7 linked regions of the Sus scrofa genome follow. The protein of the gene in region 1 purifies or fractionates together with the protein of each later gene. This does not show direct contact. Links are inferred from orthologs where the notes say so. Each region holds a gene or a part of one and is shown in the gene's direction. Other genes may lie near its edges. The genes, in order: CDKN1B, COPS5, CDK1, CCNE2, SPDYA, CCND3 and XPO1.

Region 1 (4,178 bases):
GTATTTGGCGGCGGGACTCAGGTAGAGGAAACTGCTACAAGCCGGGAAAGAACTGAAAAATATAAAAGAGGAGACGAGTTCCCACACGCAGACCAAGTCAGTGGCCTTAACAGTGCTTGGGAAGCAAGAACCTGGGCCAGGGGTGTATCCTCGCTTTTTTAAACGAAATGTATCTGAGACAGCTACTAAGTTTATTAGGGACTTGGGAGACCAATAGAGTTTTTGATCTCGAAGCCCTTTTCTTGTTTTTATTGAGGGAGAGCTTGGGTTCAGAATACATTACAAATGCAGCATCTATTCCAGTCTACTTATAGAAAGACGTCCTCCTGGGCTTCCCCCCTAAGCCCCCTGCCTCCCCTAGAACAGCACAGACTTCTAGGTTAAGGGTGAGCTAACCACTGCTCACCCCCAGCTAAGGCACCCAGGCTCAGGGGCTCCCCGCCTCCCCCGCTGAGCGAGCGGTGGGGGCCCCCCCGGGAGAGAGCCCAGCTGGGGGCCGAGCGCCCAGCGGCGAGCCCAGCTGCCCGCCCCTACCCGCTCGGCGAGCGAGGGGAAAATAAGATCGCCCTCGGCGAGGAGAGGGAGGTCGGGGCTCCGGAGCGGAGCGCAGCGCAGGGACCAGAACCCGCCACCTCTCCGGCCAGGCCCCTCCCCGGCTCCCCGGCCTTTTGGCGAGTTTGTCTTATTTTTAATTTCTCCGAGGCCAGCCAGAGCAGGTTTGCTGGCAGCCCGGCACCTCCAGCAGTCACGCGACCAGTCGAGCTCCCGGCCGCGCGCTCGGCGGCGGCGCGCTCGGGAGGCGGGGAGGCGCAGCGGCGGCTCAGGGGCCACCTTAAGGCCCAGCTCGCCAGTCTCGGCTGGGCGGCTCCCGGCGCCGCGACCAATGATCTCCTCCTCTGTTTAAATAGACTTGCGGTGTCAATCATCTTCTTCTTCGTCAGCCTCCCTTCCACCGCCATATTGGGCAACTAAAAAAAGGGGGCTCGTCTTTTCGGGGTGTTTTTCTCCCCCTCCCCTGTCCCCACTTTCTCGCCGCTCCGCGACTCCGACGCCGGCAAGGTTTGGAGAGCCGCTCGGTCGGCGGGACCCGCGGGCTCGCAGCGGCGGGGACTCGGACTGGCTCTGCCCCCTCCTCTCTCCGCTGCGCTCCTCTCCCCTCCCCTCCCCGCCCTCCAGCTCGCCCGTACACTTGATCGGCGGAGACTCGGGGCTGCCTGGCCCGGGCTGCCCCTCGCCCCCTCCCCCAGCCCCAGCGCGCTCCTGACGCTCGGGCGCTTACTCGTCGGTGTTTGTTTCTCTTGGCTCGGAGGGCAGCCGCAGGGCTTATAAGAGGGGCTCGGGCTGGGTCGAGGCGTTTTGTTTTGTTCGGTTTTGTTTTGCGAGAGCGCGAGAGAGGCGGTCGCCGAGCCCCGGGAGGAAGATGTCAAACGTGAGAGTGTCTAACGGGAGCCCGAGCCTGGAGCGGATGGACGCCAGACAGGCGGAGTACCCCAAGCCCTCGGCCTGCCGAAACCTCTTCGGCCCGGTCAATCACGAAGAGTTAACCCGGGACTTGGAGAAGCACTGCAGAGACATGGAAGAGGCCAGCCAGCGCAAGTGGAATTTTGATTTTCAGAATCACAAGCCCCTGGAGGGCAAATACGAGTGGCAGGAGGTGGAAAAGGGCAGCTTGCCCGAGTTCTACTACAGACCCCCGCGGCCACCCAAAGGCGCCTGCAAGGTGCCGGCGCAGGAGGGCCAGGGTGTCAGCGGGACCCGCCAGGCGGTGCCTTTAATTGGGTCTCAGGCCAACTCAGAGGACACACATTTGGTAGACCAAAAGACTGATGCACCGGACAGCCAGACGGGGTTAGCGGAGCAGTGCACTGGGATAAGGAAGCGACCTGCCACAGACGGTAATGACCCTTTCGAATGCATGAAACGTCTGTTTGTCTGCCTCTCTCTGTTTGTCTGCCGTGCTGTTTTCCCTGCTTGAGGATCTTAAACCTCCGCTTTCTTTTCAGCGCATTCTGACTTAGCTCTTGGGGAACACACCTTCCTCATCTTAGGTTTTAAATGCTATTTGGCTAGCTGCTGGTCTGTTTATGACTTTTAAGTCTGAAGCATGAGACTGTGCTATCTGATAATTTCTCTAACTGAAAACATCGCGGCTCCTCCCCGCTAGCCAGCTGTAGGTATGTGACAACGTTGGGATGTTTATCAACCACCTCCCTCTTCGCTTTGGAGAGAGAGAGATTTGGGGCGTAGAATACACTTTCTGTTATGTGAAAACAACCTCATTTTGTGCCCTTAAAGGCCACTGGGAATGACGGATCCAGGATGGTGGGTGGAGGTGGTGGGTTTTTTGTCCCCTCAGTATCGAGCCAACTTGTGTCAGCCATTGTTTTTTCTAATAAAGATTATTTGTGTGTGTTCTTTTTAAAATTCCCTCCTGCCTTTAGATTCCTCTCCTCAAAACAAAAGAGCCAACAGAACAGAAGAAAATGTTTCAGACGGTTCCCCGAACTCGGCTTCAGTGGAGCAGACGCCCAAGAAGCCCGGCCTCAGAAGGCGTCAAACGTAAACTGCTCGGTGGGTTGATCACTGGAAGCAAATAAGTGACACCCGATTTGGGCTGAAGGAACTCATGGGTTTTCAAACACCAAGATACCCGATCTTAGTGGTGTCTGGCAGATTAGAGCTTGTGGGGTTTTGTTTGTATTTTATGAGGTCCAAAAAAAGGAGGAATGGGAAAGACTGGGCATCAGGGTGGGGGTACTATAATTCTTCCCAGTTTCTCTGTCCTGAGATCATTTTCCTTTGAAGCTCCCAATGATTAGAGCAAGTGTCCCAGGCAAATACTTGCAACCAAGGCCCTGTGGGTAGGAAGGTCAGTTCCCTGAGAGTCCCATCAAAACGGTGTTGGGAACAATAGGTTCTTTTTCCATCTGAACAAGAGCGGGGGTCTGCCTCCATCCCACTTCAGGAGAATTCATCTCCCAGAGGACCAAGCTGACTCTAACAGATTTTGAGCCATACATGGAAAAAAATGGCAAATAAATGATCCAGTTAAAACTTTGAGGGAAAAGTTAGGTACAAATGGCTCATATCTGGTTAATCACATGGTTAGAAATGTGAATAGAGAGGAGTGTGGCTTTCTTTTATCTATCGTTTTCACAAAGTGTCACTTGCCCTGTTTTCTGATCAGTGTGGGGGATGGAGAAGGAACCTGTGTATTTAAAAAAAACCAAAATGGAAGGCTCAAAAACGCTAAGGTTCCTATGGAATTTCTGATAACACTGAAGTTACAAAGCAGAAGTTAAGTAACTCTGCCAGAGTAAGCAATCCAGGAACACGTCAGCATGTGTATGCTAATCGTGCTATAACAGGATAATTTGGATATTTGTAGGGGAAATGGATAGTAGATACCAGGGCTGCCACTGGTTAGGGCTACCCCGAACAAGGCAAGTGGACATTTTTCCACCTACTAAAATCTGATCAATGTAAAAAACTAATTTGCATAATTCAGCCCCCCAGCTTTACATGGATTGGTTTCCATAATGATCAAACTACATATATTAGTTAATAGTTTGTACACTCCTTACAGACAATGACCGTGACCTCTTTTTTTTCCCCTCCACAAACACCCTCATAGCTTAGCATTTAAAGAGATCCTAAGAGATGTTGACATTAACTTTCAAAATCCTCATTTATAAAAATTTTAAAATAAAGAACAGGGATGAAGGTAGGGTTCAAGTTTGTTGTGTTTTTACATCAGTGTCACAGGTAGGACTTTATTACATACGTCTGATATCTTTCAGAGCTTATACAACACGGCACTATCGAACCCTACGTTATAGCTGTATATGAAGTGAAAAAAATTTCTGAGTCAACCTTAACACCTGTGGCTCTTGTTGGTTGGTGACTCGTGGCCTAGCTCATCAGATGAGCCACAGCAAATCAGACCTACTGGATTTTGATCTGGCCGCATTCTGACATACAGAGAGGCATTTGTTAGTAAATATTGCCAGTTCAGCGAATACAGGAAATAGTAGTAAGGACCTCTTCTCAAGCATTCATGTGTGTATACTCTTCATACGACTGAGAAACTAGTTTTTTTTTTGGGGGGGGTGAATAGAATTTTCTTTGGTGAGCTTTTCTATTTCCAGTTATTTTTCAAATTTAGAAAATTTTGCTAC
Region 2 (3,500 bases), on another chromosome or scaffold:
CTTTTTTAAAATATTACAGTTAAATGTGCATATGTAATTATTAAATTTTTTATTTTTAAAATTTATGAAAGTCTATATCATATTTCAGTTTAACAAATGTGGGTATGCATGTGAGTGTGTGTAGCAATACTCTAAAATACAGCTCTGGTTATAGCGATGTGGAGGGATTATAGGTATTTCCTTTTTTCTGTATATTCCTCTACATTTTCCAAATTTTCTATATAACTATTAACTTTATTTATTTATTTATTTATTGTCTTTTTTTTGCCATTTCTTGGGCTGCCCCCGCAGCATATGGAGGTTCCCAGGCTAGGGGTCAAATTGGAGCTGTAGCCACCGGCCTACGCCAGAGCCACAGCAACGCGGGATCCAAGCCACATCTGCAACCTACACCACAGCTCACAGCAATGCCAGATCCTTAACCCACTGAGCAAGGCCAGGGATCGAATCTGCAACCTCATGGTTCCTAGTCAGATTCGTTAACCACCGAGCCACAACGGGAACTCCAATATAACTATTAACTTTATAATCAGAAAAGCTACAACAAATGTAATTTTTAAAATGCTGATATAAGTACTAATTCTGGAAGTTCAACAAGAAAAAATATAACAAAATTAGCTAACAACCATTAAGCCTTTACCAGGTGCCATGGACAGTCCTAAGAGCTTTATATAATATCACTACAATTTAATCTTCACAATAGCTTTAGGTAGAAATTATCACCTTCCTTCCCCATTTTCACAGGAAGGCTTGAAGGCACAGAAAAGCAAAGGCGCTCTCACAAGGCCTTCCAGTCTGCAGCAGGGCCAGAACCTGGACTCAGACCTGTGTATTTGGAAGCTTCTTATAATAACACATATTAGATTTAAGCAGTCAAAAAGAAAAATTCCAAACTTAGTATTAAAATTATGAAAGGGGAAGAACTCTACATTTGAACTGCATGAGCTTTGGGATCACTTTTTGCAAGTATAATTTGACCTCTTACTTCACTGACTATCTACTTAGATTTCTTTTTTTTTTTTTTTTTTTTTTTTTTTTTTTTGTCCTTTTTGCCATTTCTTGGGCCACTCCCGGCATATGGAGATTTCCAGGCTAGGGGTCTAATCGGAGCTGTAGCCGCCAGCCTACGCCAGAGCCACAGCAATGCCGGATCTGAGCTGCGTCTGCAACCTACACCACAGCTCAGGGCAACACCAGATCCTTAACCCACTGAGCAAGGCCAGGGATCAAACCCGCAACCTCATGGTTCCTAGTCGGATTCGTTAACCACTGAGCCACAATGGGAATTCCTCTACTTAGATTTCATAGTGGAATTATCTGTAAATGAAAGATTCTATATATAACATGGTTGTTTGGGGGTTTTTTTGTCTTTTGTCCTTTTTAGGGCCGCACCCTCGGCATATGGAGGTTCCCAGGCTAGGGTTCTAATTGGAGCTATAGCCACTGGCCACAGCCACAACCCACAGCCACAGCAACTCCAGATCTGAGCCGCATCTGTGACCTACACCACAGCTCACAGCAACGCTGGATCCTTAACCCACTGAGCAAGGCCAGGGATAGAACCCGCAATCTCATGGTTCCTAGTAGGATTCATTTCCACTGCGCCACAACAGGAACTCCAAAAGATCCTATATAGAAGAAAATTTTGTTTTTTTTAATGATAGACTTGTTCTATATATAGACACAATATCATTTTCCCCACAGAATGCAGACTATACCACCGGTCAGGTCTTTGATTTGTCTGAGAAATTAGAACAATCAGAAGCCCAGCTGGGACGAGGGAGTTTTATGTTGGGTTTAGAAACGCATGACAGAAAGTCAGAAGACAAACTTGCCAAAGCTACACGAGACAGGTAAGAGCAAATCTATTCCTCACTCTTTTCTTTCAATATTCAAATTCCTTATGGCTCAACTTACTTATAACTTAGAATGGTACTTGAATATTAACTTCTTTGGGCCTTTAAGAGTTGTCAAAAGCAGGTTTCAGCTGAAATTCTTAAGACGGTAACTAAGAACATCAGAGTCTAAAAGGTCTAGGTAGTGTATGAAAAATTCCCAGTTACCTTTTCTAAGTTCAGCTAGAAACTGTAAGAACGAAAACTAGTCCATTGCTGGACCTTTAAAAAACAAAAACTTGCAAAAGGATGCCCTAACCTGTTCTAACCTTATCATCTAAAGGATTAAATTAGAATTTCTTAAATTTAAAGTTTAACCCCATAAATATCTGATAAATGATTGTATCTCTCTTAATTTTATGTAATAATTCTTTATACAGTATTTTAGTATCCCAAATTTTACTACCAAGAATTTGTTATGAACTTGGGATAGGTTCTCTAATAACATAGGAAATAATTACATGGTGGTCCTTCAGATGCATACAGGATTGGAAAGACTACCAAAAAGCATTTACTTTCACAAAATTTTGAATTGTAATGTGATAGTTAGGAATAGAGAGGGAGGGAAAACTGTGTTGACATCTATATAAACCAATACCTTGGTATCCATTTTTTAAAAACCTGTACCAGTTGGTAAGAAAGAAAAGAGAGAAGGGAGGGCAAAGTGTATTAGAAGTAGATGCCATCTTGGGTTACAATGATCTCATTCCTTTCTTCTCCATGGGTTTTTTAAAGGTATAGAACTAGTAGCCTGGATAAAAATTACATTTTTCTTTGACATGAGATCTTACTTTTGATACTTGATCTTAGTATGTCATTGTGCTCATGTATCTTTATATGTCTCTGATTTACAATTTCATCTGCATTTAAATCTAAATTTCTTATGAAGCAAAAATTTCACTGTGGGAATGTCTCAATTATATAAGAAAAGTAGTAAGAACAAAATTTAAAATAATTTTTAAAAACGATTTTTAAAAAATAGGGAATTTTCAGAGCTCACTTGTGGCTCACTGCGTTAACTATCTGGCATTGTCAGTGCAGCAGCTCAGGTCACTACTGTGGTGCAGGTTCAATCCCTGGCCCAGGAACTTCCACATATCATGGGTGTGGCCAAAAAAAAAAAAATTAGAGAATTTTGCTTTTAGGAGTAACTTTATAAGAATTGCATCTCTTCTGAATATTGGTAGTGTTTTATCATTTTCTTAATCAATTCTAAAATACAAGTCCTTCACTCACTGACCTAACTTTGGCTTTGAATTGTTCAAAGGATGTTTGTGATTATTTCAGGGAGAAAAAGCATAAGATTCTTTAAAATCTTTTTTTTTTTTTTTTTTATGTCTTTTTTGCCATTTCTTGGGCCGCTCCCAAGGCATATGGAGGTTCCCAGACCAGGGGTCGAATTGGAGCTGCAGCCACTGGCCCACACTGGAGCCACAGCAACGCGGGATCCGAGCCATGTCTGCAACCTACACCACAGCGTTGCCAGATCCCCAACCCACTGAGTAAGGCCAGGGATCAAACCCACAACCTCATGGTTCCTGGTTGGACCCATTAACTACTGAGCCATGATGGAAACTCCTAAAATCATTTTTAAAAATTATTCTA
Region 3 (3,500 bases), on another chromosome or scaffold:
AAGTCTGAGTGTTGTAACATTAGTCTTTGAATTCCTTCGTGTCTTTAAGAAAACATCTTTTTAGATCATAGCATGGTTACAGCCATGATGTGGAACCTTAATTGGCATTTAGTAGGTACTCTAAAGATTTGTTGATTAAAGGTTTTTTTTGTTTACCACCAGCAGCTTTATAATTTGACCATAGCAAATGTTTTTTAAGTTTTAAATATTCAGTTCAGAGCATATACCTTGTATCATACAAATATTTTTGGTGCTTAATCAGTAGAATCCTTTTGTTCTATTTAACTAGAGCTCTATTCTAGTAGTTCAATGAGAAGTGATAATTCAGAGTCAGGAGGGAGACATAGAGCACTTATGATGTTTAAAACTCAGTAATTCTTGAGTGTTTACTATAAATTAATGGTTGTTATAAGTAGATTTTAGGTCTATGAGTGCTGTACACTTGAGGGAAAAGTAAGAATACTAAAAAAAATTTTTTTGTATTTAAAATTAACTGCCTATTTGGCTATATTCCACAAATGACTAATCTTCTGAGTGTAAATGGTGTGCCAGATGAGGGTGCTTCTAGCTTACCTGCTTTTGTGTTTAATGCAAGTACAATTTACATTTGAAAAATGTAGGTTTTAAGTCTAGAGAAGGTTACCTACTTTATTTTTTCTTTTCGTGGCAGCTCCTGTGACATTTAGAAGTTCCCAGGCTAAGGGTCAAATTGGAGCTGCAACTGCCAGTCTATGCCACAGCCATGACAGATCAGAGCTGCATCTGTGACCTATGTTGCAGCTTGTGGCAATGCTGGATCCTTAACGCACTGAGCAAGGCCAGGAATTGAACTCGCCATCCTCATGGATACTAGATAGGTTCTTAACCTGCTGAGCCACACAGGCACTCCTAAAGTTGGCTACTTTTAAGGATGGTTATGAAGAGCAAATAAGATTAATCCTACATAGTCTTCAATAATTTTGGTTATCCAAAGCACAGTTAATCTAAATTTAATCAAATGATATGCAATGGATTTTATGTCAAATTATGTCTTTAAAATGATACCAAGACAGGGAGTTCCCAATTGTGGTTCAATGGATTAAGAACCTGACAAGTATCCATGAGAATGCAGATTTGATTCCTGGCCTCAGTGGGTTAAGGATCTGGCTTTGCCCTGAGCTGTGGTATGTATCGCAGGTGCGGCTCTGATCTGGTATTGCTGTGACAGGTGTAGGCCAGCACCAGCAGCCTACATATGCCATATACCACATGTGTGGCCCTAAAAAGAAAAAAGAAAAAACAATCAATCCCATAAGGTGTCAAGGATAGAAACTTCTGTTGTGGCCAGAGAGGAAGCATCTTACTCATAGTTGTACCCTCTCACTCTGCAAAAAACACTGAGGTTAACTACAGCCTATTGTATCCATACTTTAGAAAGCTCATGTAGTCACAATTTTCTAATTTTCCAGCCCATTTTAGAGAAAAAGGATCATTTGCAAATTGGAAACTTCTCTCCTGTCAAATGTCCTACCCAACAAGGTAGGCATAAAATAGTGTAAAAATTTGGGGTCAGGAAATAATACTAACAGGAGTCACAGTGATACTTTCAGAAAATTTCATGTAGAATACTTCATGCATACATTGAACAGTCAACAATACTCATCCAGAAAAGAAAATATTTTATTAAATATTTAATCTATTCAAGTTCGTATTATCTACGGAAAGCCTCACATCCACTTTGAAGTTGATGCTAATATAAGGGCTTCAGATAATGAGCAACGAGGTCAATATAAGGGATCCTGGTATGAATGAATGGAGGAAACAGATGGCAATAAGGGAGACGATGGACCAATCAGCTAAAAACCAGTTCATATACAGGATCCCTAGATAATTGGTTTGTTTTTTTTTTTTTTTTAAGCTGGGGTTGGACAATTTAGAAAAGTCTTAACCCCCTAAAGTGTATGGTAATTTTGTTGAATAGCTTTTACTGTTATTCTATGACATGAGTGTAACTTCAAAGCAGTTACAGTGCTCTAATATCTAGGGAGGTCTATTCTACAGTTTTTTAAGTTTCTCCAAAGATAGCCATACTTCAGAAAAGGCCTCTAACAAATAATGACCTACTACTTGCTTGATTAGAATATTAAGGATAGTTTTGTCAAGGCAAACTGATGCTATATAAACTCTGTTCTGCTTTTCTTTTTACAATCACATCCACGGCATATGGAAGTTGCCAAATTAGGTGTAGAATCAGAGCTGCAGGTGTAGGCCTACACCACAGCCTCAGCAACACTGGATTGGAATAGCGTCTGTGACCCATGCCTCATCTTGTGGCAACACTGGATCCTTAACCCACTGAGCAAGGCCAGGGATCGAACCTGTATTCTTTTTTTTTTGTCTTTTTGCTATTTCTTGGGCTGCTCCCACGGCATATGGAGGTTCCCAGGCTAGGGGTCGAATCGGAGCTGCAGCCACTGGCCTATGCCAGAGCCACAGCAACGCGGGATCCGAGCCGCATCTGCAACCTACACCACAGCTCACGGCAACGCCGGATCGTTAACCCACTGAGCAAGGGCAGGGATCGAACCCGCAACCTCATGGTTCCTAGTCGGATTCGTTAACCACTGCGCCACGACGGGAACTCCCGAATCTGTATTCTTACGGAGACAAAGTCATAAACTGCTGAGCCACAATGGGAACTCCTGTCCTATTTTTTTTTTTTAATAAATTATATACAAAAGTCTATGTCCTGGAGGGTTTTTTTATTTTGTTTTCTTTCTTTTTTTTTTGTATTTTCTAGGGCTACGCTCGTGGCATATGGAAGTTCACAGGCTAGGGGTCTAATTGGAGCTGTGGCTGCCAGCCAGAGCCACAGCAATGCAGGATCCTAGCCGAGGCTTTGACCTACACCACAGCTCACGGCAACACCAGATCCTTAACCCACTGAGCAAGGCCAGGGATCAAACCTGCAACCTCATGGTTCCTAGTCGGATTTGTTAACCACTGAGCCACGACAGGAACTCCTTTTTGTATTTTTATTTTTTTAGGGCCGCGCCTGCAGCATATGGACGTTCCCAGGCTAGGGGTTGAATCTGAGCTACAGCTGCCGTCCTATACCACAGCCACAGCAGCAGTGGATCCAAGGGGCCCCTGAGACCTATACTACACCTCACGGCAATGCCCAATTCTTGGCTGAGGCCAGGGATCAAACTAGTGTCCTCATGGATACTAGTCTGATTTGTTTTCACCGTGCCACAGTGGGAACTCTGGGATCAATCATGTTTAAAAATCTTTAGTTTGAGGAGGGTGTCACCTAGCAGATGTTTACTTTGTCTATTTCAGGTACCTATGGAGTTGTGTATAAGGGTAGACACAAAACTACAGGTCAAGTGGTAGCCATGAAGAAAATCAGGCTAGAAAGTGAAGAGGAAGGTGTTCCTAGTACTGCCATTCGAGAAATATCTCTATTAAAAGAACTTCGCCATCCAAATATAGTCAGGTATGGTATAATATCAGAGTGT
Region 4 (4,184 bases), on another chromosome or scaffold:
CAGCGTCTGGCACGAGTTGCCGCGGGTTCAAGAAAGTCGTTGCACCGCTCCTCCGCCGCAGGGGTCTTTGTTCCCTCCAGCGTGCCTCGCCCCATGCTCCTGCAGCAAACCTGCTTGCAGAGTATAAACGGCATGTCCTACTTGGAGATGTCCAATCTTGGGACGCACTGGAGCGGAGCGTCAGTAGAGGCAGTGAGGGAACCCAAAATTTAGATACAGGGCGGGGAAAGAGGGAAATAGGTCGGACCGCCCCCCATTACCGCTCGGAGGCGGGAGGCTCCCTCCCGCGCGGGCGGCTAGCGCGGGCTCTGCAGGGCGCGCTAGCGGCCGCTGGGCGGGGCGCGACGGGCGGGTCCGGGGCCTACACGTGGTGGAATCGTCCACCCTGACGGGCGCTGCCCCGGGAGAACTATTGTCTCCTGAGGAAGGGGCAGTCCCACTCCAGGCGCACCTCGGGAGAGGTGTATACCCTTGGAGGCCCCAGAATTGGAGGTTGGGAGGATAGAGAGGGAGGGCGCGACTTGGCGCGAGCGTTTCCTGTGCTGGGACTTCTGAGTGGGAAGCTGTCAGACAGGGACAGGGGGCGGAGTGACCCACCCACGCGGAGGATAAACGGGTCTGCGGAGCGGAGAGCAGGAAAGCAGGGTTGATGCATAGTGTAGTCGGCAGGCTGAAGCAAAGTGCAAGATAGGCATCCCTGAGCATGGCTGCCCTCGGATGCCACAGCCTTCTCCTACACACACGTGGCCTGCGGCGCGCCTGGCTGTGTTTACATTCTGCAGCCACTCCACGTTGTGCTGCCGTCCTCGCCTCCCATTGGCCAGCTCGCCAGCCAACGCTGCGCCCCTCCCTCCGGGGCGGGCCTTCTAGGTCCCCGAGTCTCTTAGGAAAGCCCGGGTTGCTGGAGGCCTTGGCGGGACAGCCAGGGTGCGCCACAGGATGGCCACTTCCTGACCACTCCATACTCGCCTGTGCTGCCTCCACCTGGCCGTACGTCGAGCCCAGGCCGCGGCCTGACACTCCCGGAATCGGAAAGTTGAGGGAGAGACGGGACGGAAAAGTACTGGGGGGAGATGCGGAAGCCGAGCGGCGGGGACCTGGGCTGCTGGGGAAGAGCCTCTGCGACTCCCTCTAGCTGCCGGGCCACACGGGCAGGTGAAATGCAGGTGACCGCGGACCTAGGGCCTAGACGAGCCGGCCCTGCGGCCTCTCGAGGTGGGCGGGCGCGAATTGACTGCAGGGAGCTGCGCGCGGGCCTGCGGGCGCGCTGGCGGGCGCGCGGGGGAGGGGAGCGCGCTGTCCGGAGGTGTCAGTCTGAGGCGCATGCGTGCGGGGCGGGCCTGGCCCGGCCTATATATTGGGTTGGCGCCGGCGCCAGCTGAGAGTCGAGCGGTAGCGGGTCTGGCGGTGAGGAGCTGCTGGTCGTAGGGCGGGATGCGGGAGGAGAGAGAGACCCCTTGGGCCGATCCATACCGTGGGCGGGAGCCTGGGAGAGGGAAAGTGGGAGGGCTGAGAACTAAGCGGCTGGGGGCGATGGGTCTCGGCATTCTGTCCCTGTCACGACCCTTGGCAAGGGGCCGGGGAAGCGGCGGGGGATGGAGGGCTGCCCCTGAGTGGGAGGCCAGGGAAAAGCCCCTCATACTAGGGGCTCCTCTGTGCCACCTCCATTTGGAGAGCTATCCTGCAGGAAAAAGGATGTGGGCCCGGGAACCCTTAACGGGGAGAAAAGTTCCCCCACCAGCCCAGTTTTCCCCTTTTCTTTCATTGAACTCGCTTTCCTTCACTCCCATCCCCCAACTGGAGTCGGGGTCCCGGTGCCCCTCTAAGCGAAGGGCAGGGTCCCGTGGGGCTGGGAAGGAGGGAAAGGAGACTGAAGTACGTGACACCAGTTCCCTCCGCCCCCTGCTTCCCCGCCGCCGCCGCTCTCCAAATTGGCGCGGAACCGGCTTCTCCACAGCGTTTCGCCTCCACAACCCCCTCTCTCCGCCGCTCGTCCAGGATGGGAGGCGGGAAGTGGGGGCGCTGCCCAAGTCCCGCTCGGGGTGTCGGGGGGAGAGGGTACAGGACGCAGAAAAGATACATCTGCCTCCCTGAGCGTTCGGGGCTCTGGCGGTGCTTTACAGATTTTTTGAAGACTGTCCCGGCTGTACATTCAGCTGAGGAAATACTGGCATGTGTCCAAAATCATGAGATAATTAATACAGTGCAGAAGACACCGTGGTAGATGGCTCAGGTCATCTCCTGAGGGACTTGGTTGTAACCTCTGAATCAGCGTCTACCTGGCACTCAGAGAGTATGGATGACAATGTATTTGACTCTGGTTTTTCCTCTTTCCCCTCCAGAGGTGTCACACACCTGAAAGAAGAGAATGTCAAGACGCAGGTAATTTGTCTTGGAGATATGTTTCAAAGTTAACTGCTGCCTTTGAAACGCATGCCTTACTAATGAAACTTCCTTTTTAAAACTGTAGTAGCCGTTTACAAGCTAAACAGCAGCCCCAGTCCAGTCAGACGGATTCCCCTCAAGAAGCCCAAATAATTCAGACCAAGAAAAGAAAAACGACCCAGGTGAGTTAAAAGGGGAGAGAGAGAGAAAGAGAGGAAATTCCTTGCTGGTGCTTTAGTTTAACAAATGGTCTTTTCTGTTTTCCAGGATGTCAAAAAAAGAAAAGAGGAGAAGGTCACTAAGAAACATCAATATGAGATTAGGGTAATGCAGACCTGGGCTGGGTTTGGGGAAAACTAAGGCAGGACGAAAAAGAATAGCATTGTGTTAATTGCTTCGCAATGGGAAGATTCCTCTGACACTTTTGATGCCTCCAGAGGTCAGCAGGAAGGTGCTTGTCTTTGGGTGGTTTTTCTGTCCCTGAATCCTCTACAGCTGCAGAGTAAGTTTGCCTTGAAGCAGCTGGTCTCTCTTTGTAAATCCCTCCCTCTTGGAGCTGCCTGGTGCACCAGGGCCCGCCTAATCTGTCCAATGTACTGCTCTTTGTTCCCTCTCTGACTATAGTGGAGGGTCCTAATAGCTGCTTCTGGGGCACAAATAGGCTGTGAGGTCACTGACAGACTGGCACTCAGCCCTTTGCTACCTTTTCTTCCTATGTGTTGTACAGAAAAAACATTTTAAAAGACAGTGGTTGTCTTTGAAACCAGCATTGATTGGCAAAAGGGTCCTCTAAGTATTTAAGTAACTGATTCCACTTTTAAGATTTTACTTACCTTCGTGCATTCTAAAGTAGTAGGACAGGCCTTATGAGCGGAGGGTGTGGGAGGTGGAGTCAGCTTTCTATGGAACAAGGTGCCCTGGTCACTATTGCTAAATATAGAGGGAGAATTTTATAATTTTGAAAGTGATTGGTATTTGACTACAGATGTGTTTTGTTATTTCTCCTCTCCCTCAGTACCTAATGTCTTGTATTTCCAGGATTGTATTTTATTGTCTAAAACATCCCACCTGTTACTCTTTGTGAAGATTGATATGAGCTATATGGCTTATTTATAAAATATGAATTCAGATTAACTAGATTGTCAGCAATGTTAGCTAACAATGGTGTTTGGGGAAAACTATAGACTGTATTAGCTTCATTTATAAAAGAGCCAAGACAAAAGCTGGTTCCTACTGCACAGATATTCTCTTTATTATTTTTTTAAATGACAGAATTGTTGGCCACCTGTATTATCTGGGGGGATCAGTCCTTGCATTATTATTGAAACACCCCACAAAGAAATAGGAACAAGTGACTTCTCCAGATTTACAAATTACAGATTTAAAAATCTTTTTATTAATCCTTCACCTTTGCCTGATTTAAGGTAAGAAAAATTTTAATAATTTAATGTCAAAGATTAAAATTTACTGATGTAATATATGGTGCTATTTTGAGCTTTTTTTGCCTTCTTTATACGGCTAGGAAAAGTTGTTTTAAAAAACTGCTTTTTTATTAGCATTTAAACATATATTATCTGAGAGTAGTGCTATTTGCGAATGACATGGGTATTTAAACATTGATTCTATAAAGTTATTTTCATTTGCTTGCTGAGGAGTATATGCCTTATCAGAAGACCTGAACTACCTTTTTTTTTTTTTTTTTGCTTTTAGGGCCACACCATAGGGCATATGGAAGTTCTGAGGCTAGGGGTCAAATCGGAGCTACAGCTGCCAGCCTACACCACAGCCACAGCGACGCC
Region 5 (3,500 bases), on another chromosome or scaffold:
AAAAAAATTAAAAATAAAAAACTGAAGGAGTGTAAAATTGTTTTCCTTTATACACTACATCATTGTTTTGGTAAGACTACATTTCACTTTTAACTATTGGAAATTTTAGCATCCGAATTAAGCTATAAGTGTAAATACACACTAGATTTCAAAGACTTAGTTTGAAAAAAGAATGTAAAGTATCTCATTAATTTTTATATTGATTACATGTTAAAATGATATTTTGGATATACTGGGTTACACAAAATATACTCCTAAAATTAAATTCACTTATTTGTACTTTTTAAATGTGGCTTTAGAAATATAAAATTACATATGTGGCTTACATTACACTGGACAGTGCTGATCTAGCCCCACTATATCCAATCTTATTTTCCATTCCTTCCTTCAGCAGGGAAGTTTCTGAGGGTCAGGAAGGAGAATCTGTACCTAACTCCTTGAACATCAAGGGAGGCATGGCTGCCTGGGTCACTGTGAGTTATGGATTCAGAGGTTCTCATTAGGGTCTTAGAGTAGTTTCCTGCTTTGGCTACTCGTAATTCCATCTCCTATTACTATACAAATACCTTGAGCATAAAAATAATACTAACTAGTAATTTTGTGAACTGATTACCACCAAACATGGTAGTGATTATGCTTATTGTTAAATATCAATGAATTAACTTTGTTTCCATTTTTATTAGACTGTAACAGGTTATACTCATTTACACTGGTAATCAGCCGCTTAAATAGCCTGTCATACATTCGACTATAGGAATTAAAGGAATCAATTTATGAGAATTGTTCAGTGGGCATATACCATGCATTTCTTTGCAAGAATTATTTTTAAATTTTGAATAAATATCAATAAATGCTTATTGAACTAGTGAATTTTATAACATATCAAGGAATTTACCAGTTAGAAAATATGTTTTTGTGTGTATGAGATTGCTTTTTAATCTAATACTTGATAATAATTTAGTTCTGGAAACAGTTTGCCTTATTCTATTAAAAAAAATGACATAATAATCATATGATAAAATTATGTCAATTCAAGCATAATAAAAAATTATCAGGAAAAAAGAGTACCACAAATAGACTATATACTCAGCATAGTTTCTTTAACTAACTTTAAAATTTGATTTTGTCTGCTCTAGTAGTCAAAGCAAAATGATATGCAGGATCTTATTGTTTGGGAAGAAGAGGTATATCAGTTACCCAAAGGAAGTATAGCTTTTCTTAACACTAATTTCTAAAAGCAGTTTCTCATGTGAGTCATTGTCATCAATAACATTTTAGTAGCAAGTTCAGTAACATTTCCTATGACTGCATCTGATAGTGTCATCCAGTTAGTTGTTTTTATATAGAAATGAACAAAAGTGTGATAAATAACTGTTTTATATTTACAGGAATCGTGGGAAACCAAAATGAGACATAATCAGCTGTGTTGCGAGACACCACCTACTGTCACTGTACATGTAAAATCAGGGTCAAATAGATCACATCAGCCCAAAAAACCCATTAATCTGAAGCGTCCTATTTTTAAAGATAGTTGGCCAGCATCTGAAAAAAATGCACATAATAGCAACAAGTCTAAACGCCCCAAAGGACCCTGTCTAGTTATACAGCGTCAGGAAATGACTGCTTTCTTTAAATTATTTGGTAGGTTTAAAATATTGTTGCAATGGTTAATTGTAATAATGGAACTTTGAAATGAGAGAATATGAAGATCTATTTAATCATTTTAATAATGATCAAAGAAAATGTCATTTTTTTTTTTTAAGGGCCACACCTGTGGCACATGGACGATCCCAGGCGAGGGGTTGGATCAGAGCTGCAGCTGCTATCCATAGCCATAATACATCTCGCAGCAACACCAGATTCTTAATCCACTGAGCAAGGCCAGGATCGAACCTTCATCTTCATGGATTCTAGTCGGGTTCTTAACCTGCTGAGCCACAATGGAAATTCTATATGCTGTTATTTTCCATGTATAGATTTTCTATGTCCAACCAAATTTGTTTTTGTTTTACTTAGTTCTTTTTTTTTTTTTTTTTTTGCTTTTTAGGGCCACACCTCAGCATATGGAGGTTCCCAGGCTAGGAGTCAAATCTGGCCTATGCCACAGCCACAACAATGCAGGATCTGAGCTGCATCTGGGACCTACACCACAGCTCACGACAACACTGGATCCTTAACCTGCTGAGCAAGGCCAGAGATCAAACTGCAACTTCATGGTTTCTAGTCGGATTCATTTCTGCTGCACCACAATGAGAAGTCCGTTTTTTTTGTTTTTTTTTTTTTAATGCTGAATTTTTGTTTTGATTACTTTTGGAGCAGAAATTCAGATTCATCTAGCTTCTAGACTATTTATTTATTTATTTATTTTTCTTTTCTTTCTTTCTTTATTTATTTTGTCTTTTTGCCTTTTCTAGGCCTGCTTCCCGCAGCATATGGAGGTTTCCAGGCTAGGGGTCGAATCAGAGCTGTAGATGCCGACCTGTGCCAGAGCCACAGCAATGCAGGATCCGAGCCTTGTCTGTGACCTACACCACAGCTTACGGCAACACCAGATCCTTAACCCACTGAGCAAGGCCAGGGATCGAACCCGCAACCTCATGGTTCCTAGTCAGATTCGTTAACCACTGTGCCACGACGGGAACTCCCATAGACTATTTAAATTCAAGTGTCAATGTACATTTCTGGGCAGTTCAAGTTCATAGTTTGAGTTTTGTTTGACCTCAAGTAAACTATTTCAGAAAGTCTCAGGGGAGCCAACTGACCCTGGTGTCACTGGGCCTGAGGGGTTTCCTGGGACTTTCAGTGCTAAAATTGAGCAAACTTGGAAAGTTAGTCAACCTAGAGAAGTTCCAGTATTATATTTGGGGAATATTATTAAAAATTAACTATGCTTTATCACCGTGGTCATATAATGAAGTTGAATGTGGATTTGTTCAGATCATGAAACTGCTACTTTGCTGATAAGCTTCTTAAAAATAGACAAAAAGAAACTCCTTTATAGTATTTCTACTAGCCGAGAAAGACAAGGATTTTTTTTTTTTTGAGTTAAGGCAGTAAGCAAAATTATTATCCATAAACTTTTTATTATTCATAATTGAACATGAGAAATTAGACGAAATAACCTGGTTCTACCATTTTAGATGGTTTAAGAAATAGAAATGGGATTAATAAGGCAGAGATTAATTATTCTCAGAAAATCAGTACTTATCCTTAGAATTTCCATGTATTTGACCATTGGCAATATTAAGAAGTTATGCTTTGTTATTTAACTCAAAATGAAGGGGGAGGAATTCCTATTGTGGCTCAGCAGGTTAAGAACATGACTAGTGTCCATGAGGATGTGGGTTCCATCCCTGGCCTTACTCAGTGGGTTAAGGATCCTTGTAACCACAAGCTGCAGTGTAGGTCACAGATGTGGCCTGGATCTAGTATTGGCTGTGGCAGTGGTGTAGGCCAGCAGCTGCAGCTCCAATTCAATGTCTAGCCCCGGGAACTTCCAA
Region 6 (4,102 bases), on another chromosome or scaffold:
CTGCGACCTACACCACAGCTCACAGCAACGCCGGATCCTTAACCCACTGAGCAAGGCCAGGGATCGAACCCGAAACGTCATGGTTCCTAGTCAGATTCGTTAACCACTGCGTCACAAGGGGAACTCCACTAGGTTCTTCTTTTTCTTAAATCCTAATACTCTCTCAAGACAGAGCACAGATGTTTGGTTGACTCAGAAGGCCCCTTGTTTCCTGGTACTTACAGCTCTGCAGCATCTCTGTCAGTGTTTCCACAGATGCTTTCTCAGCGCTCTCAAACCCTGCCTCTGTTAACAGGGAGCTCACAACCACTTGCAGAGTTCGCCTCCGGGCCAGATGGTAGTTATCAGCAGGGTTAGTGGACTGTTTACTTCCTGATCTCTGTAAATCAGCAGCCCAGAAAGAGAATACTTTCATCCTCAGGACGAGGATGCAGTCATGTAGTTCACATATTGTCAATGGCAAACAAAGGTTCTTTTGCTAAATCTTTATGTATCAGTGTGGTAGCTCCTGATGTTTAGACTTACAGCTCTTCGCCAAATAACTGAGCACCCAAGTGGCTCTAAATTCGAAAACAGCCTTTCTGCCTAGGTAAAACTTATCAATTACAATAGTACAAAATGGCCGTTTCCTACTTTCTATTTTGGATTATCTGAATATATAGCTGAAGAAACATGCAGGATAGAATTGAATTCATTGGTCCATCTCCTAGAAAAAAAGTAATCTCTCTTTTGTCCCTCCCATCTCCACACCATTAACGAGGAAAATTAAAACAACAAACAACACATGCTGCTGAGTAGAGGAGGGCAAATGATAAGAACATCGACAAATTAAAAAGCTAAATATTTTGAAACAGGAATCCCTCCCAACTTTGGCGGGCCAATAAGAAGGCGAAAAGAGCCCCACTGGACCAATCAGGAGGTGTTCCGGGTTCCCAACCCCCAACAGAGAATGAGCCAATCAGTACACAGGTCCACCAACTCCCGAGGCCGCCGCCAAGTCTCGAGGAGGAGGAGGGGGGCATATACGGCCTGAAAGACCTTCCTCCACTCAGAGCATGTGGTGGGGCCCTATTTCTGGGTGTGAACATGTTGCCAAGGCTAGGGGGACATTACAGAATCCCCAGGCTCTCTGGGCTTCCGCCCCGCGCCTCCCGCCCTTACCGTTCCGGAGGCCCCGGCCCCGGCAGTGGCCGCCGCGTCGGCCATCTTGCTCTGGCGTAATGTGCGCGAGCGCACGGCAGGATGGGACTTGTAGTCACCCGGCGGGGAGGAACCGCGAGGGGGCGGGGCCGCGCGCCCCGTTGGGCTTTGTGGGGCCCAGCCGGGTCGGGGGTGAGTCTGGTTATCCCGGTTCACGTGACCTGTGAACGGTGGGTTCAGCGAGCCCCGGAAGTGGCTAGGAAAATGAGCCCTCGGTTTCACACCTATTTAAAAACGAAATCGTTTTTCATAAAAAGCACATCCCTGGAACGCTCCAAACTTGCCTGATTGTTAGCCACACCTGGCTAGGTCCGGCGGATCCCCGTGACTTTACTCTCTGGAGGAGGGGTCTTGGGCATCTGTATTCTTAAGTTCTCCAAGTGAGTCTCCTGAGCCTGGATATTTGGGGAAGCTTTGTTTTGTGCTGACGGACCCAGAGCCAGCCAATGGCCCACTTGGAACGAGAGCCAGCAGTCACGTAATCCAGGTGTGCCACTGCATCCGGCTGCCTTCTCGCCCTCAATTAACCCTCAGGTATTTTTGGGGCGAGCCGGGAGGCGTCGGCGGTAGGAGGCTGTCCGGTGCCTGCCTCACTCCCAGGCCGTGGAGTCTACGTAGTGCCTGTGGTTTTCTGCGGTTCACTCGCGGGTCAGCCCCTCTGGATGGGGGTCCTTCATGCACCGCGCCTCGTCTGTCTCCGTTTGCGGGTGCCCGGCAGCTCGCAGAGGCTGGGTTTGAATCTCAGCACTCGCCAGCTGTGGGACTTCGGGCAAATTACCTAACCTCACTTTGCCTCAGTTTCCTCTTTCGTGAAATTAGGGTGGGATGGGTAGCCGCGGGGGAGGGAATAAGCTAATATACACAGAGTTTATCACTGTGCAGACTGAGAGTAAGAGGTCAAGAAGCAGCGCCTAATGTTATTTATTTCTTGCGTGGCGAGTGGATGAGCAGAAAACGCTCACATGCAGAAGTCGGGGAAACCTGCGCCACGCCTGCCCCGCCGCGCGCACCTGAGCGTGGGGGGCGCCCGGTCCCCTCACCTGGGGCACAGGGGGCAGGTCTGACGGTCGGGGTCGCTGCGCGGGGTGAGCCACCCGGAGAAATCGGGCCCCAAACCTGAGTTGAGCAGAGCACCCAGCCCCTTTGTCTCCTCCGCCCCCCCTTCCCCACTTCCTGCCCAGCTTTAAACTCGGGATTGGCGGCGCGGCGCCGACTTTGTAAACACGCCGCGCCTGCGGCGGTGGAGACTGGTTCTGTTTGGGCGTCTGGGGGAGGGGTGCACGCCCCTCCCCGCGGCTGGAGGTGGCGACCCCCCACCTCGCCAAAGACAGAAACCAGAGGCGGCGGCGGGAGAGTGTCTGCGGCCACGGCCAGTGCTCCGGGGGGCTCACCTGCCGAGGAGGTAGGCTTGAAGGCTGGAGAAGCCAAGATAGATGGGTGTCAGCATCTCCCCGCTTCGCTGGGGCCTTCGAGCTGAGGCGGGACACCTGGGCGGGGAGTCGGAGGTGGCGACCTGATCAGCCTCCTCGATGTCTCTCAAAGCTCGGTTCACTTTCTCTCTGAGTTGCAGAGGCTGAAAGGCAGAGAGCTCCCCCAAAGCTCTGAACTTTCTCTGTGTCCACACAGGCCCTCTTCAAACTGATCTGGAAGCCTAGTGACTTCACTGGGCTGTCTGTCGTCCTTCTTCATAATTCAGAGATGGGGTGGGAGGCAGTAGGGGGGCAGACCCAGTGTGGGCAGCGAGCCTTGGGGGTCCTCCTGCCAGCCAGGGCTGAGGGAGGAGGCCAGAGGACTGGAAGGAGGAGCCTCTCAGTGGGGGTCCCTTTGGTGTCTGCGGGTTACACAAGTGACGGCTTTAGCCTCTTCTGTGTCTTTTAATGTGTCAACAAGAGGATTAACTGAGGAAATTGGTTGCTATTATTCAGAAAGCATTACGGTATTCATTTGCACACATTGAGCGCCTAGTATGTGTCTGGGATGGTGTGTGGGCGCTGAGGGTGCAGTGATGTTATTTGTCCACAGTGATCTAGCCTGGGTCATAGAACACCAGAGATAAGGTGCCAGGTTGGGGTGGCTGGGAAGGCTTCAGAGAGAAGAGGACATTTGAGTTGGCTTCTGAATGATGACTAGTCCCCAGGCAGAGGTGTGATGGGAAGTCTTTGCTGGGCACTTATTGATTCTGCAGAGCTGGACTCGCCCCTGACTGTGGCATTGGGCCTTGGAAAACAGTGGGCACCCAGAAGCCGTCTCGGCATTCTTTAACCCACTGTCTAGACATGAAGAAGAGATAGGAATGTAACAGGATGACTTTAGGGAAAGGCATGTGTCCGGGCTGGTCCCCAAGAACCCAGAAATTTCCAGCTGGACGAAGCTAGGAGAGTCCACCCCAGGGGTGATGTAACAGTCCACACAGTCCTGGGGCACCACCCACTCCCCGTCCCTGGATGCTGGGACTGCGTCCTCTACCAAGTCCTTGCACTGTGCCCTTTCTCTTTGGGACCAGAGAGTGAAGAGAACTGGATTCCCCCCATGCTTCCCTGTAGGTTCTTCTGCTTTTTCAGTCCCCAGGCTCCCTTGGGAGATGGCTGACACAGCAATGGATTCAACCATCCAACACCTGTTTGCTGTGGCCACACTGTCTGCACAGGACATAATGGTTGACAAGTCAGAGCCTCTGCTCCCCTGGACTTTAGGATCAAAAGCGACTCTGAGAATTCCAGCAGGAACCTAGTCTGTCCGGTCCTTGAGCCCATGACCTCCGAGTGTCTTCTCTTTGCCATTTCCTTCCCTAAAGGGTCCAGAGCAACAGCTAGGGCTTCTATAGCACTGTCAAGTACCCTCCTAAATGGTTTTGGTGTGATGTCTGGTTTAATTCTTCTGCCCGTCCTGTGAGGTGAGCGCT
Region 7 (3,500 bases), on another chromosome or scaffold:
GTATGCCATTTATTTCATAATTTTGGGATTTCAATATTGTTCCTATTTATAGGGAAAATTTTTAGGAAATTCTTAAGGTATCAACCTTAAATACCAAAAGGTTTTAAAGGTGCATTATGAGATTAGAACTTAACTTAAAATTGGAAAGTAGGGGTTACTGTCATGGCTCAGTGGTTAAGGAATCCAGCTAGGAACCAGGTTTGATCCCTGGCTTCACGCAGTGGGTTAAGGATCTGGCGTTGCCGTGAGATGTGATGTGGTCACAGAGGCGGCTCAGATCTGGCATTGCGGTGGCCCTGACGTAGGCTGGTAGCTGTAGCTCCGATTAGACCCCTAGCCTGGGAATGTCCATGTGCCGAAAGTGCAGCCCTAAAATGACAAAAGACAAAAAAAAATTGGAAAATAAAAAATAGGATGAACTGAAGGGATTGAGAAGTTCATAATTTATAAAAATTTGGGCAGTAATTTCAGAAGTATTAGTGTTAATAACAAGAAAGGTATTATTTTACAACTAAGATTTGAGTTTTGAGACTGAATTAAAAGAGCCAGTTTACAGGAAAATAATTTCAGATACTTGAGGGTAGAGGAGGAAAGAAATAGGTGAGGTAGATTATGAAGTACAAACTTCTGGAGTTCACGTCGTGGTGCAGTAGAAACAGTTCGACTAGGAAGCATGAGATTGTGGGTTCGATCCCTGGCCTCGCTCACTGCGTTAAGGATTTGGTGTTGCTGTGACCTGTGGTGTAGGTCGCAGACTTGGCTCAGATCCCACGTTGCTGTGGCTCTGGCATAGGCTGGCAGCTACAGCTCTCATTGGACCCTTAGCCTGGGAACCTCTTAGGGTGCAGCTCTAAAAAGACAAAAAAAAAAAAAAACCCACAAAACTTTAAAAAAAAGTTCAAACCTCTAATTACAAAATAAATGAGTCACAGATATGAGATGTTTCAAATCACTATGCTGTGTAACAGGAGTTAACATTAGCAACAAACATACAACAAATTCAGAAAAAGAGATCAGATTTGTGGTTACCAGAGGAGAGGGATGGGATAGGGAGAATTGAATGAAGGTAGTCAAAAGATGAAACTTTCAGTTTTAATATAAATAAGAACTAAGGATGTGATATACAAAAACGATAAGTAAAACTAACATTGCTGAGGAGTTCTCTTGTGGCCCAGTGTTAGCAAACCTGATTAGTACCCATGACGATGGGGGTTCAGTCCCTGGCCCCGCTCAGTGGGTTAAGCATCTGGCATTGCCATGAGTTGTGGTGTATGTAGGTGGCAGACTCGGTTCAGCCCCTCCTTTGCTGTGGCTGTGGTGTAGGCTGGCAGCTGTAGCTCCAGTTCGACCTCTGGTCTGGAAACTACCATATGCTGCAGTGCAGCACTTTAAAAAAAAAAATAGAACTAACATTGCTGTGTATTATATAAGAAAATTGTAAGTAAAGTTATACAGTGCTGTACATTAAGCATGTCTCAGACTTGAAGATCAAGAAAAATAAGTAAGAACTAGTTTTAAAAAAAACCAAATGGGTAAAAGGACAATAATTTTTTGCTTGTTAAAAATCTTACTAGACCTGTTTTGCATAGTGGGACACTACTAACCAGTAATCTTTAAAGGAAACATTGGTTGTATTTATTGTTAAACATCTTAATGGAGAACCTATTAAAAACATGAAAGTTACGCCTTAATAAGACTTTATTGAGAGTAAGTGGTGGGTCTCTACTTTGAAGTTAACCATCCCTCATACACAGTACCTTAGAATCCTGGTCCTGCTGCATTAGAGCTAGTCACTTGATTTGAGGCCTCAGTTTCCTTTAATAATTAACAGATTTAAACTACATTGTCTATGGCCCCCTCAGACTATCATGATCTCTTGGTAGAAAATTTTAATACATTAAACTTAAAGTATAGGAGTTAGCAGTTTTCAGCAGATACTCAACCTAAATTAGAGATATTGACTTAGCTACTTAATGAGTTAACAAGTGCCTAAATTAATGTTGAAAATTTTTTGTTTTGTTTTTCCTTTTTTTAACAGGTAGCTGAAAATTTTGTTCCTCCTCTGTTGGATGCCGTTCTCATTGATTATCAGAGAAATGTCCCAGCTGCTAGAGAACCAGAAGTGCTCAGTACTATGGCTATTATTGTCAACAAGTTAGGAGGACATATAACAGCTGAAATACCTCAAATATTTGATGCTGTTTTTGAATGCACATTGAATATGATAAATAAGGTATGTGATCTGCATTTTTTAATGTACAAGAAATTATAATAGCAAGGTACATTTGAGATTGTTCAAATAGCAACTTGCATTTATTGAAAAATTGGCTTTAGTTGTATTTGTTGAAATAAACAGGCGGGTTTACATTTTTAGTTTTTATAAGTATAGTATATCCTTATAAAGAATGGGGAAATGTATTAACCAAGAGGAAGAAAAGGTACATGTAAGTCTATACCTTTATGCAGTAGGTAACAATTTTCTAATCTGTACAGTGGTCTCAAGGTCATTAAAATTGGTAGTGGGAGTTCCCGTCGTGGCGCAGTAGTTAACAAATCTGACTAGGAACCATGAGGTTGCGGGTTCGGTCCCTGCCCTTGCTCAGTGGGTTAACGATCTGGCGTTGCTGTGAGCTGTGGTGTAGGTCGCAGACTTGGCTCGGATCCTGCGTAGCTGTGGCTCTGGTGTAGGCTGGCGGCTACAGCTCTGATTCGACCCCTAGCCTGGGAACCTCCATATGCCGCGGGAGCGGCCCTAGAAATGGCAAAAAGACACACACACACACACACACACACACACAAACACACACACACAAATTGGTAGTGATGGAATTGCTATTGTGGCTGAGTTGGGTTAAGAACCCAACTAGTATCCATGAGGATGTGGGTTCTATCCCTGGCCTTGCTCAGTGGGTTAAGGATCTGGTGTTGCCGTAAGCTGTGGTATAGATCTCAGATGCCCAAATTCAACCCTAGCCTGGGAATTTCCATATGCCACAGGTTCGCCCTAAAAAGAAAAAAAAAAGTTGGTAGTGATTGTGTTAAAGTTACTAGAAAATGTGCGTGGTTCTTAGGTGGCTTTTTTTTTGGTCTTTTAAGGGCCACACTCTTGGCATATGCAAGTTCCCACCCTATGGCTCAACTACTGGCCTGTGTGCTCACCAAGGCTGGATCTGAGCCACATTTGCGACCTACACCACAGTTCACAGCAAGGCCAGATCCTTACCCACTGGGCAAGGCCAGGGATAGAACCTGCATCCTCATGGATACTGTTCAGGTTTGTTACCGCTGAGTCACAATGGGAACTCCTCTTACGTGGCTTTTGATGAGTTCTCTTTATAATTAAATGACCTTGTATTCCTTTGTTTTGGGAAGTGATTGGTATAATAAATAGTAATTTTGTCTTACTTGAGAGGTGAATTCTGTTGTCTTTGGGTTTGCTTTTTCAGCAGGCCATACATCTTATGGGATCCACTAAAAACTCCAAACATTTATACTGAATT

The links.
Region 2: the proteins of CDKN1B (region 1) and COPS5 purify together in Homo sapiens (affinity purification with western blotting; 11 studies listed by BioGRID and IntAct, with this or other methods). This does not show direct contact. The link is inferred for Sus scrofa from reciprocal best matches to the Homo sapiens genes CDKN1B and COPS5.
Region 3: the proteins of CDKN1B (region 1) and CDK1 purify together in Homo sapiens (affinity purification with mass spectrometry; 8 studies listed by BioGRID and IntAct, counting the BioPlex papers as one, with this or other methods). This does not show direct contact. The link is inferred for Sus scrofa from reciprocal best matches to the Homo sapiens genes CDKN1B and CDK1.
Region 4: the proteins of CDKN1B (region 1) and CCNE2 purify together in Homo sapiens (co-immunoprecipitation; 5 studies listed by BioGRID and IntAct, with this or other methods). This does not show direct contact. The link is inferred for Sus scrofa from reciprocal best matches to the Homo sapiens genes CDKN1B and CCNE2.
Region 5: the proteins of CDKN1B (region 1) and SPDYA purify together in Homo sapiens (affinity purification with western blotting; 3 studies listed by BioGRID). This does not show direct contact. The link is inferred for Sus scrofa from reciprocal best matches to the Homo sapiens genes CDKN1B and SPDYA.
Region 6: the proteins of CDKN1B (region 1) and CCND3 purify together in Homo sapiens (affinity purification with western blotting; 9 studies listed by BioGRID and IntAct, counting the BioPlex papers as one, with this or other methods). This does not show direct contact. The link is inferred for Sus scrofa from reciprocal best matches to the Homo sapiens genes CDKN1B and CCND3.
Region 7: the proteins of CDKN1B (region 1) and XPO1 purify together in Homo sapiens (affinity purification with western blotting; 4 studies listed by BioGRID). This does not show direct contact. The link is inferred for Sus scrofa from reciprocal best matches to the Homo sapiens genes CDKN1B and XPO1.

Annotation. Positions count from the first base shown.
Region 1 is NC_010447.5:59,733,032-59,737,209, reverse strand, and holds the start of CDKN1B (cyclin-dependent kinase inhibitor 1B), read left to right. Parts: upstream 1-1,378; 5' UTR 1,379-1,420; coding exon 1,421-1,895; intron 1,896-2,441; coding exon 2,442-2,563; 3' UTR 2,564-2,571; intron 2,572-4,178. UniProt on the Homo sapiens protein: Important regulator of cell cycle progression. Inhibits the kinase activity of CDK2 bound to cyclin A, but has little inhibitory activity on CDK2 bound to SPDYA. Involved in G1 arrest. Potent inhibitor of cyclin E- and cyclin A-CDK2 complexes.
Region 2 is NC_010446.5:67,754,028-67,757,527, forward strand, and holds part of COPS5 (COP9 signalosome complex subunit 5), read left to right. Parts: intron 1-1,704; coding exon 1,705-1,853; intron 1,854-3,500. UniProt on the Homo sapiens protein: Probable protease subunit of the COP9 signalosome complex (CSN), a complex involved in various cellular and developmental processes.
Region 3 is NC_010456.5:64,236,989-64,240,488, forward strand, and holds part of CDK1 (cyclin-dependent kinase 1), read left to right. Parts: intron 1-3,321; coding exon 3,322-3,478; intron 3,479-3,500. UniProt on the Homo sapiens protein: Plays a key role in the control of the eukaryotic cell cycle by modulating the centrosome cycle as well as mitotic onset; promotes G2-M transition via association with multiple interphase cyclins.
Region 4 is NC_010446.5:41,803,500-41,807,683, forward strand, and holds the start of CCNE2 (G1/S-specific cyclin-E2), read left to right. Parts: upstream 1-1,384; 5' UTR 1,385-1,407; intron 1,408-2,342; 5' UTR 2,343-2,368; coding exon 2,369-2,382; intron 2,383-2,470; coding exon 2,471-2,567; intron 2,568-2,652; coding exon 2,653-2,709; intron 2,710-3,657; coding exon 3,658-3,809; intron 3,810-4,184. UniProt on the Homo sapiens protein: Essential for the control of the cell cycle at the late G1 and early S phase.
Region 5 is NC_010445.4:110,426,751-110,430,250, reverse strand, and holds part of SPDYA (speedy protein A), read left to right. Parts: intron 1-1,388; 5' UTR 1,389-1,406; coding exon 1,407-1,641; intron 1,642-3,500. UniProt on the Homo sapiens protein: Regulates the G1/S phase transition of the cell cycle by binding and activating CDK1 and CDK2.
Region 6 is NC_010449.5:37,179,663-37,183,764, reverse strand, and holds the start of CCND3 (G1/S-specific cyclin-D3), read left to right. Parts: upstream 1-1,302; 5' UTR 1,303-1,687; exon of another isoform or gene 1,688-4,102. Other genes in the region: TAF8 (transcription initiation factor TFIID subunit 8), read right to left, coding at 223-379, 1,162-1,206. UniProt on the Homo sapiens protein: Regulatory component of the cyclin D3-CDK4 (DC) complex that phosphorylates and inhibits members of the retinoblastoma (RB) protein family including RB1 and regulates the cell-cycle during G(1)/S transition.
Region 7 is NC_010445.4:80,293,016-80,296,515, forward strand, and holds part of XPO1 (exportin-1), read left to right. Parts: intron 1-2,038; coding exon 2,039-2,233; intron 2,234-3,500. UniProt on the Homo sapiens protein: Mediates the nuclear export of cellular proteins (cargos) bearing a leucine-rich nuclear export signal (NES) and of RNAs.